2 linked regions of the Schizosaccharomyces pombe genome follow. The gene in region 2 interacts genetically with the main gene of each other region. Each region holds a gene or a part of one and is shown on either strand. Other genes may lie near its edges. The genes, in order: cip1 and ftm6.

Region 1 (4,917 bases), 4.3 Mb from region 2:
TGATGATCTTGTTCCCCTCGAACTCATAAATACAATTGCTATCCTCTAATACATAGGTTTATATGGGTAAAATAAGAAAATTTCTGTTTCTTAGTTTACTTTTTCTACTAATTTAACTTTATATTATCGGCAATATAGCAGATTATCAATATTTATGGTGTTGTGCGGTACTTCCAGCCATAACTCATGAAACTGGTTTTTATAATATTTTCTTTTTCTAGCTGCAGTAATTACAAGGTCAAGTGTATTTCATCTTTTTTCATAACCTTAACAAAAAATAAAAGTTCATCCAAAAAGAATCGTGCATCTTTGTGTTATCCTTTCTTCATTCTTAAATTCAATAGACATTCAAGTGCAGTAATTGAGTAAGGCTGCGATAACCCATAAAGTATTCTTATTTTAGTGAATCCTTTGTAACTTCCTTTAATTACAACTTACTAACAATGGAACTAAAAGTCCACCATGCTTGCAATTTCTTTTTCTTTTTTACATATAAATCAATTCGCATTATATAGGAAAATTTAACGATATTTTAGGTAATTTTAAAGTAGCTCATTTAAAGCCCTACAAGCTTGGTAGAAAATAGACTTTAAATCGTAGGTTTATTTCTATATCCATAGTACGGTAATACTAAGCTAGGAACATTCACATCCACATAAAGAAGATGATTAAATTTACAAAAATAAAAGTTCAATTTTGTAATATCAGACTAATGTATTTGTCCAAGGTTAAATTTAATCATGTAAAGTATGTGTATATTATACGGTAGGGCATAAATTTCTTATACAAGAAAAATCGTTATAATTTGTAAAAAAATAGGAGCATCGCTCATCCGTTGATTATCGTCATAAAACATTATGCCTCACCCAACATATATCCATCATTGATTGCTGTTAAGTCGAGTCGTCCAAATGTGTCGTGGGAATTCAAAACGATAAAATATAAGCTTCTAAGTATTTAAAAGGATTATTTGCTGGATAACCAACTATGTGAAAGGGAAAACAAAAAATCAACAAAATGAAGCCCATAGAGTTTAGATTCATCAGAAGTAAGTGATAAAGGGATAAAGAGCAAAATTTAGTCAAAACAAATAGCGTATAGTAAATGCATCTATAGTTGGCGTAAACAAAAATCATATCTTAAAAGGTACATAAACAGTTTCTTTATAATTGCATAGACTCTAAAAGTGGGAGACACCAAAACTCTGCTTGGAAGCGGAGGTAGAAGCATCATTATCATTTTTTGAATTGAAAGGTGAACTCAAAGTAGAAGCCTTTTGAAGCGGTGATTCATTTCCATAAATTTTGTCGTCAATCGAACGAAGTTGGTTTGTCAATGGTACTGCGAAACTGGGAGGTGGGGTTATAGGGGCACTCTTAGTACCATTCAATGAATGCTCTTGCAAAAATCGAGTAGCTAACGGTGCCGGCATATTAAATCTTAAATTTGGAGATGCAGGTTGCGACTGACTTACGCTCGTATTCTTTTTATTCGGATGAGTAACTACTAATTTTAACACCTCTCCATTCGGGCGAGCATAGTAATCGAGATCAAAGTACAGGCAAAAGATTCTAATGGCATTTAGAAGGTTTCCGTCCTTAGAAGTGGTTTCAAATGTTATTTCACGAGAAGGAATGCATTGATGAGCAAACAATAGAAGTCTACTATAAGTTTCAAGGGTACCAGTGTCATTCAAATTTAAGCCTTGATCAGTAAAGCTAACTTCAAACATCTTGTACTGCTGTTTACGACGTCTTTCTTCAGCTTGACGTTTCTTTGCTTTTTCCACCTTCTCGCGTTCTGCAGCTGGTAATTGGCGTTTCCATTCAACACGAAGACGTCTGCCATTAATTTCATAGCCATTAAGCGTTTGCACAACAACTTGAGCCTCTTCAGGACGATAAAAATTAGCAAAAGCCAATCCTCGAAATATTCCATTGTCATAGTGATAATTAAAGGCATAAGGTCTGGGAATACCTAGTTGCTTAAAATGATCCAACAATGTATCTTTCTCCAACGAGAAAGGAATATTTTTCACAACAATAGCCGTTGGAATGGTATCTTCACCGGGTTCAACCGGTGTTGAATTAGAATTGGCAGTCGATCCTGCTTTGATTTGGGTACTGTTAAAAGCATCCAACGAAGGCTCTGCGGATGTATCAGCTTTATTGCCTTTTCCACTGGCAGAAAAGCTTTTACTTTCTGAAGAAGATTCAGCACCACTAGGAGGAGAGACATTGTGGAAAGCCATAGCACTCGCCTCATTTGCTGAATTTGAGTTCCTGGACGAGAGGTACGGAGTTCCAATAGAATTGGCGCTGTTAAAAAGCGCGGAACCTTTAGAACTATTTTCTAGCCCACCAAGCTGAGAATAACCAAAAGTAGGAAAGCTATCAGAAGGAGCCGGCGATGCAGCACGACTACTAGCAAGAGAAAGGGCACCGGACCATTTGGGGTACAGCGGAGCACTCGAACCGGAACCGCTTGTTTTCCTAGAAGCCTGAGGAGAACCAATTGGCTGTAGCTTAGGAGAATTCAAGGGTGATTGTAATCTTGATAATGCTTCATGATTTGATTTTTTCGTCCCAGAATTACCTGCTAATCCTCGACTTTCATCCACACGAATTTTCCAGGGAAATATTTCATTAGGCATTCTAGATGCGGGGGAACGAGTCCAGATATATTCTGAGGAATAAAAGTTATATGTGAAAACAGAGAAAATTGACTAGGAAATTCCCGTAATTTGCCCCTTAGAATACTGCACTTGTAGATGCTAGTTCAGTCTAAGGATTAATTGAGCGTCTCTTTCAGCAGCATCACACGGTAGCACACCAAATTGTTTAACAAAATACAACGAAAAGCAGCAAACACTTTACTATACACAAAAAAAAATATACTTACTTGTTTGCGTAAATAGTAAGGCAGTTAATAATTAATAGGAATATAAATCTGAACATATTGAGTAGCAGTATGAACGTAAAAAGCCGATTGAAGCTGTTCTTAGCTTTTTTGCTATCTCTCATGATAAACGAGTAATCTAAATTAGCTGTGCCTTACCGAAAACGAGTATCTTGTCAGCTGTAGAAGAGTATAGATAAATAAAAGTAGACAGCTGGACTCTCCATTAGCCAAATTCGAGTAGACTTGAGCATTGCTTAACTTTTCTTCCTTTCTGCTATTTCTTTTTACTATACTGTTCCTGTTGACTTCAGACTTGCTATTTTGTTTTAAGGCGTATCATGGAAATGTACAATGCCAGGCATATTTGAATGCTTTTATTATCGATCCTTCATTCGCTAATAGACGAAATGTTATTTCAACCGACACCTATTAATTATCGAAGTAATCTTATTTACTATACGTTCGCTGAGTCGTTAAAATGTCAAGCAAGTGCCATGTTGTTGTACATTGACGGCTGCAGCGATCCTCCCTTTTATTCTATTTCATAAAAACCACTTATATTAAGCGTTAAGAACTATTTCCATCCAGCATTAATTACTATCGTTAGATGACTTTTAAAGGCTTCACCGTGCACACCCATTTCTTTTGAAATGTACTCAAGTATCACACTTCGAGGAAAAATTACTTTTTAAAACCTCCTTTTGCGTTTCTTATTACATTTTAGAAATCTTACCACTTCAAACTTGGTTCGTGTAATTGACACGTGGCTAAAAGCTGTTGTAGATACGCGGAATCTCCACGCAAATTTCTATTTGATATATTTCGCATGTTGTCGTTTAACCATATCTAGAATGACAACAAGGATGCACTCTTGAGAAGTGCGTTCAAGCTCCTCCTGCTTACTAAAGAAGTTCATTATAAGGGGGAGCGACGTACCGGAGAAAGCAAATACTGCAAAACAATTTGTCAGTGTGCATACAAATATATGTCACATCTCTCACTTTTCTCCTTATTTAAATTGTATTAGATCTCGATGGATTATGTTATTGTGCTAGTAGTCTGATTTTCGTGATAATCACTTAGACACATATTTGTATAAAAATTTACTGAATACCACTAGCAAGCCGCTTACCAAATTAATCACCATAAGACTCAACAATGAGAAATTTGACTATAAGGAATATATAAGCGTTTGGATAGGGTTTTTAGTGCTTTATTATTAGGATATTTCCTTGTTTACTTGTCTTTGTTTTTCTTTATTCTCCCCCTTAAAAATATTTGTAAAATTGTCTAAAAAACGTCCATCTCAACTAGCGGCCATTTGTTTAAAAAATTTTTATTATTCAAGAGCATAAATTATACGCAATGTCTAGTTCTTCATCTCACAACTCATTTTCCGGCTCTAAAACAAATGCTGCTGAAGGGCAAAATTCAATAGATGGACTATCCCTTAAAAAGACCACCAGTCCTTTTATATTGACAGCATATCCTTCCAATGAAGAAAAGGAAGTTAAAGAAACCGACATAGTTCCGGATGAAAACAAAGTGAATGAACTTGACGTGCATAAGCAATCCACTGAATTCTCTAAACAAGAATCTGCTTCTAATGATGATGATACCAATATACAATTAATCCCAGAAAATAATATGAAAATAGTGGTTCCTGCCTTAATTCTTACTTTGTTTCTTGCTGCATTAGATAATACAATTGTCACCACTGCTTTGCCGACTATAGCTGAAGACTTTAATGATACATCAAGTTCATCATGGATTGGATCTGCCTATGTCCTTGCTTCCAACGCAGTTCTTCCTGCTGTCGGTGTATTTTGCAATATCCTTGGAAGAAAAATAGTACTTTACATTTGCATTTTCTTTTTCATGCTGGGTAGTGCACTTTGTGGTGCATCACAAAACATGATATGGCTAATCGTTTGCCGTGCCATTCAAGGCCTTGGTGGAGGAGGTATTATTTCTCTCGTGAATATTATTATATCTGATATAACCCCATTGCGCACA
Region 2 (3,254 bases):
AGATTCATGATCTATTCGTCTGGTTTCTCATTATCAAATGGTGTTGCGGGATCTTCATACATATTTTCCCAAACTATTTTTTACTTCAGAGATATATTTCTTCATTGTTCTTAATGATATATAAAAAATGGTGAAATATTTATTTATTGCCCCATCATGTTTATTTTTATATCCTTCTTTCTCTGTCAGGAAATCTATTTCCGAGCTGACGATAAAAAAACATGTTGCAAGTCGCCGAAACTACCTCGGCTTTTATTACTATGTCCGAAAAGTGCGCGAAATATTGGAATGGCTTGTAAATTATGCATTTAATCAAATAAAGTGATAGTAAGCGCAAAGTGTATGACTCAATGAAAATCGGGTGTATCAACTACTCAGTTGTTTACCATACAATGTATTGTAAATTATGGGTAGTGTCGTCGCTATTACATTTAAAAAATATATTATATTGAAGGTATCTAATAAGAAGTAAATGTTTTTCTGTGTAATAATAGTGAATTCTTCTCATCAAAAATATAAACGAACTGATTTTTCGTCACCTTATTAGGTTATACAAAGTCATAACAATGCAAAACCAAAGCGGATAGCATATCAAACTAAGAATATGACTTGCTATTAAAAATTAGTTTCGCTTGAGTTTTATTTTAAGAGTAGTAATAGTCAGAATTTATTGTGCTGATACACTTCAACTTACTTGATTAATAATTGAAAAAGAGAAATTTACAATTGAAATTGAAATGGATGGATTTGAAACAAACCATTCGTCAACATCACCGCTACTTTAAAAATGCTACTGTACTTGCGAGTATAACTACACAAAAGTACATATTTAAGCGGTTGCATCAAGTAATGTCATATATAGAAATACAATAATATAAACGGAGCACAAACTGAACCTCGTTCTTGATATATCAAGTCTTCTTTATTGTACCATAATGTTGTATGTCGTTGTGCTATATTTTTTTGTAAGTTACAATCATACTGATTGGCATAGCTTCTGCTTTTAACTTAACGGTGATCAAGCCATATTTGATCAGGTTAGGCAGAATTCCAATGATTGCATTAGAAGGTTTAGATCTTCAAGTCAATTTTACGATTACAAGCAAAGGAGAAATAGCAATCAAGCCAGTATCGAATACTCATTACACGTATATAGCAAGATACTATGGAATTGTTATTGTGATATGAATCTTGATGGTGGATTATTATAGCCCTGGTGCAGATCACTAATATCGGTTTTCGAGTAAGAATGATTCTTGCTTTCTGACCTAGTGACTTTCTCAATAGAGAAAAGTATAATGACTTGAAATTTAGAAAACGTTCTAATGGAGTTAATGGAGTGAGTTCTAATGAAACGAGGAAAAAATTTGTTATGATATACTACGACGCATCCAAATGTAAAGGATCGGAATTTAGATGAAGCCGATGGTACTTCCGAGTAAATGTACCAACAATATAATAAATAAATCAGCAATTTTACTGCTAGACAATATTTCACTGTGAGGCTTAGTCTTGGTATAAATAGAGGGACTCTGTCAAAACAAATATTTTGAACTAGACTCGAATTCTTCATAATTCTATTCACTTGAGTGTTTATTTTTTTTAACAATGCCATTACATTTACGAGATATGTGGATATCCACTGACGATTATAAGGATGTTTTACTTACGTGTCCTGTGTGGTATGAAATTAGTGAAAGAGAATTAAATCATGCTGTTTGGGGACAATATTAAAATGGTGAAGTTATAATGAAACAGTTGTTGGAAGCGATTAGTTTCAAAAATTAGCGACTCGTATTTTGTTTATTATTATTATTATTTTTTCTTTTTTTTTTATTCGCTGTTTTAAAATTGTTTCCAGCAATCTTCTTCCTGTTCTCTTTTTATCCGTTTGACAACACATTTTGCTAATGCTTTTTTTTTTTTTTTAGTTCAAAGAAGACTGGTACGAGAAATAAACAAGTTGAGTAGTTTCGAAAGCAATTGGCTCTTTCTTTTTTTTTTTAAACTTGTCTTATTAATGTTAACATAACATTTTGTTTTTAGTCCGAGTATGTCGTCAGTTGAAAACCGTAACGGTTCTCATTGTGCCTGTTCTTCCGGTTTATACGAATAAGGTAAGAACATTCAAGAAAGCGTTTGATATGAAGTCTGTTCCATTATTGCTCTTAGTGCCTGACAAACGTTGTTAGTCTGTTTTGAGTTTACAAGTTTGTTAAGCTAATAGCCATTCATTGATCTTCATTGTTACATGCTTTCCATGGAATAGTTGGAGGTGTTTACTTTTCAACTTGTTAGCGATCGCTTGCTAACATTTTTAATAATAGGTACTTTGTTGTTCTCAGTGTGACTGGCACGAACCAGCAAATGTTTACTCGATTGAACAAAGGCGTAGTCATGATGATGATCTTCCTACCATTAAGGGTTCTGATGCTAGTACTCAACAGTATGAAAGAAAAACTTATATTACCGATGCTAGTCCCGAATCTCAGAATCTGTTTTTAAGCAAAAGTAAAGAGGAGGGAGTTATCTTCTTATGCATACAAGTAAGCTTTTAACCTTGATTCTATTTATTCACTTTTACCATTTACTACTTTCGCAAATTCCTGTTTTTTGTTGGGGATATGAAGGGGAATATAAGGGTAAAGTAGATGAAATGGATGTATTTGAAAGTTGATTTGGATTCGATTTATTACTTTGAATCCCCGTTTATTATTATACGTTTATGTCGTTTTAAAGAAAACCATGCGATGTACTATATTAATTTTGTAAAATATATATTATAGATAAAAAAATTGTTGGGAAAATGGGAAAGCAAGTTGAAAATAATTAAATTCAATAAATTAGCAAAATATGTTTATGAAGGTAACCAGTTTTTTCTTTTTATTTTTTTTTTGTCTATATGTCAGATTCGCAACTTTTAAGTTTGAACAAAACATTATTTCACATCGACTCAAAGGTTATGTGTATTTAAAACGTTCCAGTAAAAAAATATTCATTTGTAAAAAATAAATAGGTGGTATATTAAATAAGAATGAACTTACTACACAATTTCTGTGTAAAAAAGTGAGATTAAAATAACTGGATATTAATCCATTGATAAACAAATAATAAATAAAATAATCCCGGTAACCCCTTTAAAGGTGAATCAAGTAAACCATGGTTTTTGTCAAATCATTTTCTCTTGAGCCTCTTCAGCTACATTTCGATTGTAGGCAAGTGCTTCATTATGGGTGGGAAACATTATGTAACAT

What was found.
Region 1: mutations in ftm6 (region 2) and cip1 together harm fitness more than expected from each alone (negative genetic interaction), as found in Schizosaccharomyces pombe (one large-scale study listed by BioGRID).

What each region holds. Positions count from the first base shown.
Region 1 is NC_003423.3:4,261,293-4,266,209, forward strand, and holds cip1 (RNA-binding protein Cip1), read right to left. Parts: upstream 2,786-4,917; 5' UTR 2,654-2,785; coding exon 1,181-2,653; 3' UTR 526-1,180; downstream 1-525. Other genes in the region: NuA4 histone acetyltransferase complex subunit Eaf7, read right to left, coding at 1-27; SPOM_SPBC16A3.17C (transporter), read left to right, coding at 4,267-4,917. UniProt on the Schizosaccharomyces pombe protein: Regulates global gene expression after oxidative stress. Interacts and stabilizes mRNAs and may regulate their transition between different cytoplasmic components after oxidative stress.
Region 2 is NC_003423.3:8,930-12,183, reverse strand, and holds ftm6 (transmembrane helix domain-containing protein), read right to left. Parts: upstream 1,616-3,254; coding exon 1,175-1,615; 3' UTR 833-1,174; downstream 1-832. Other genes in the region: SPOM_SPBC1348.04 (methyltransferase), read right to left, coding at 1-8; ftm5 (transmembrane helix domain-containing protein), read right to left, coding at 3,170-3,254.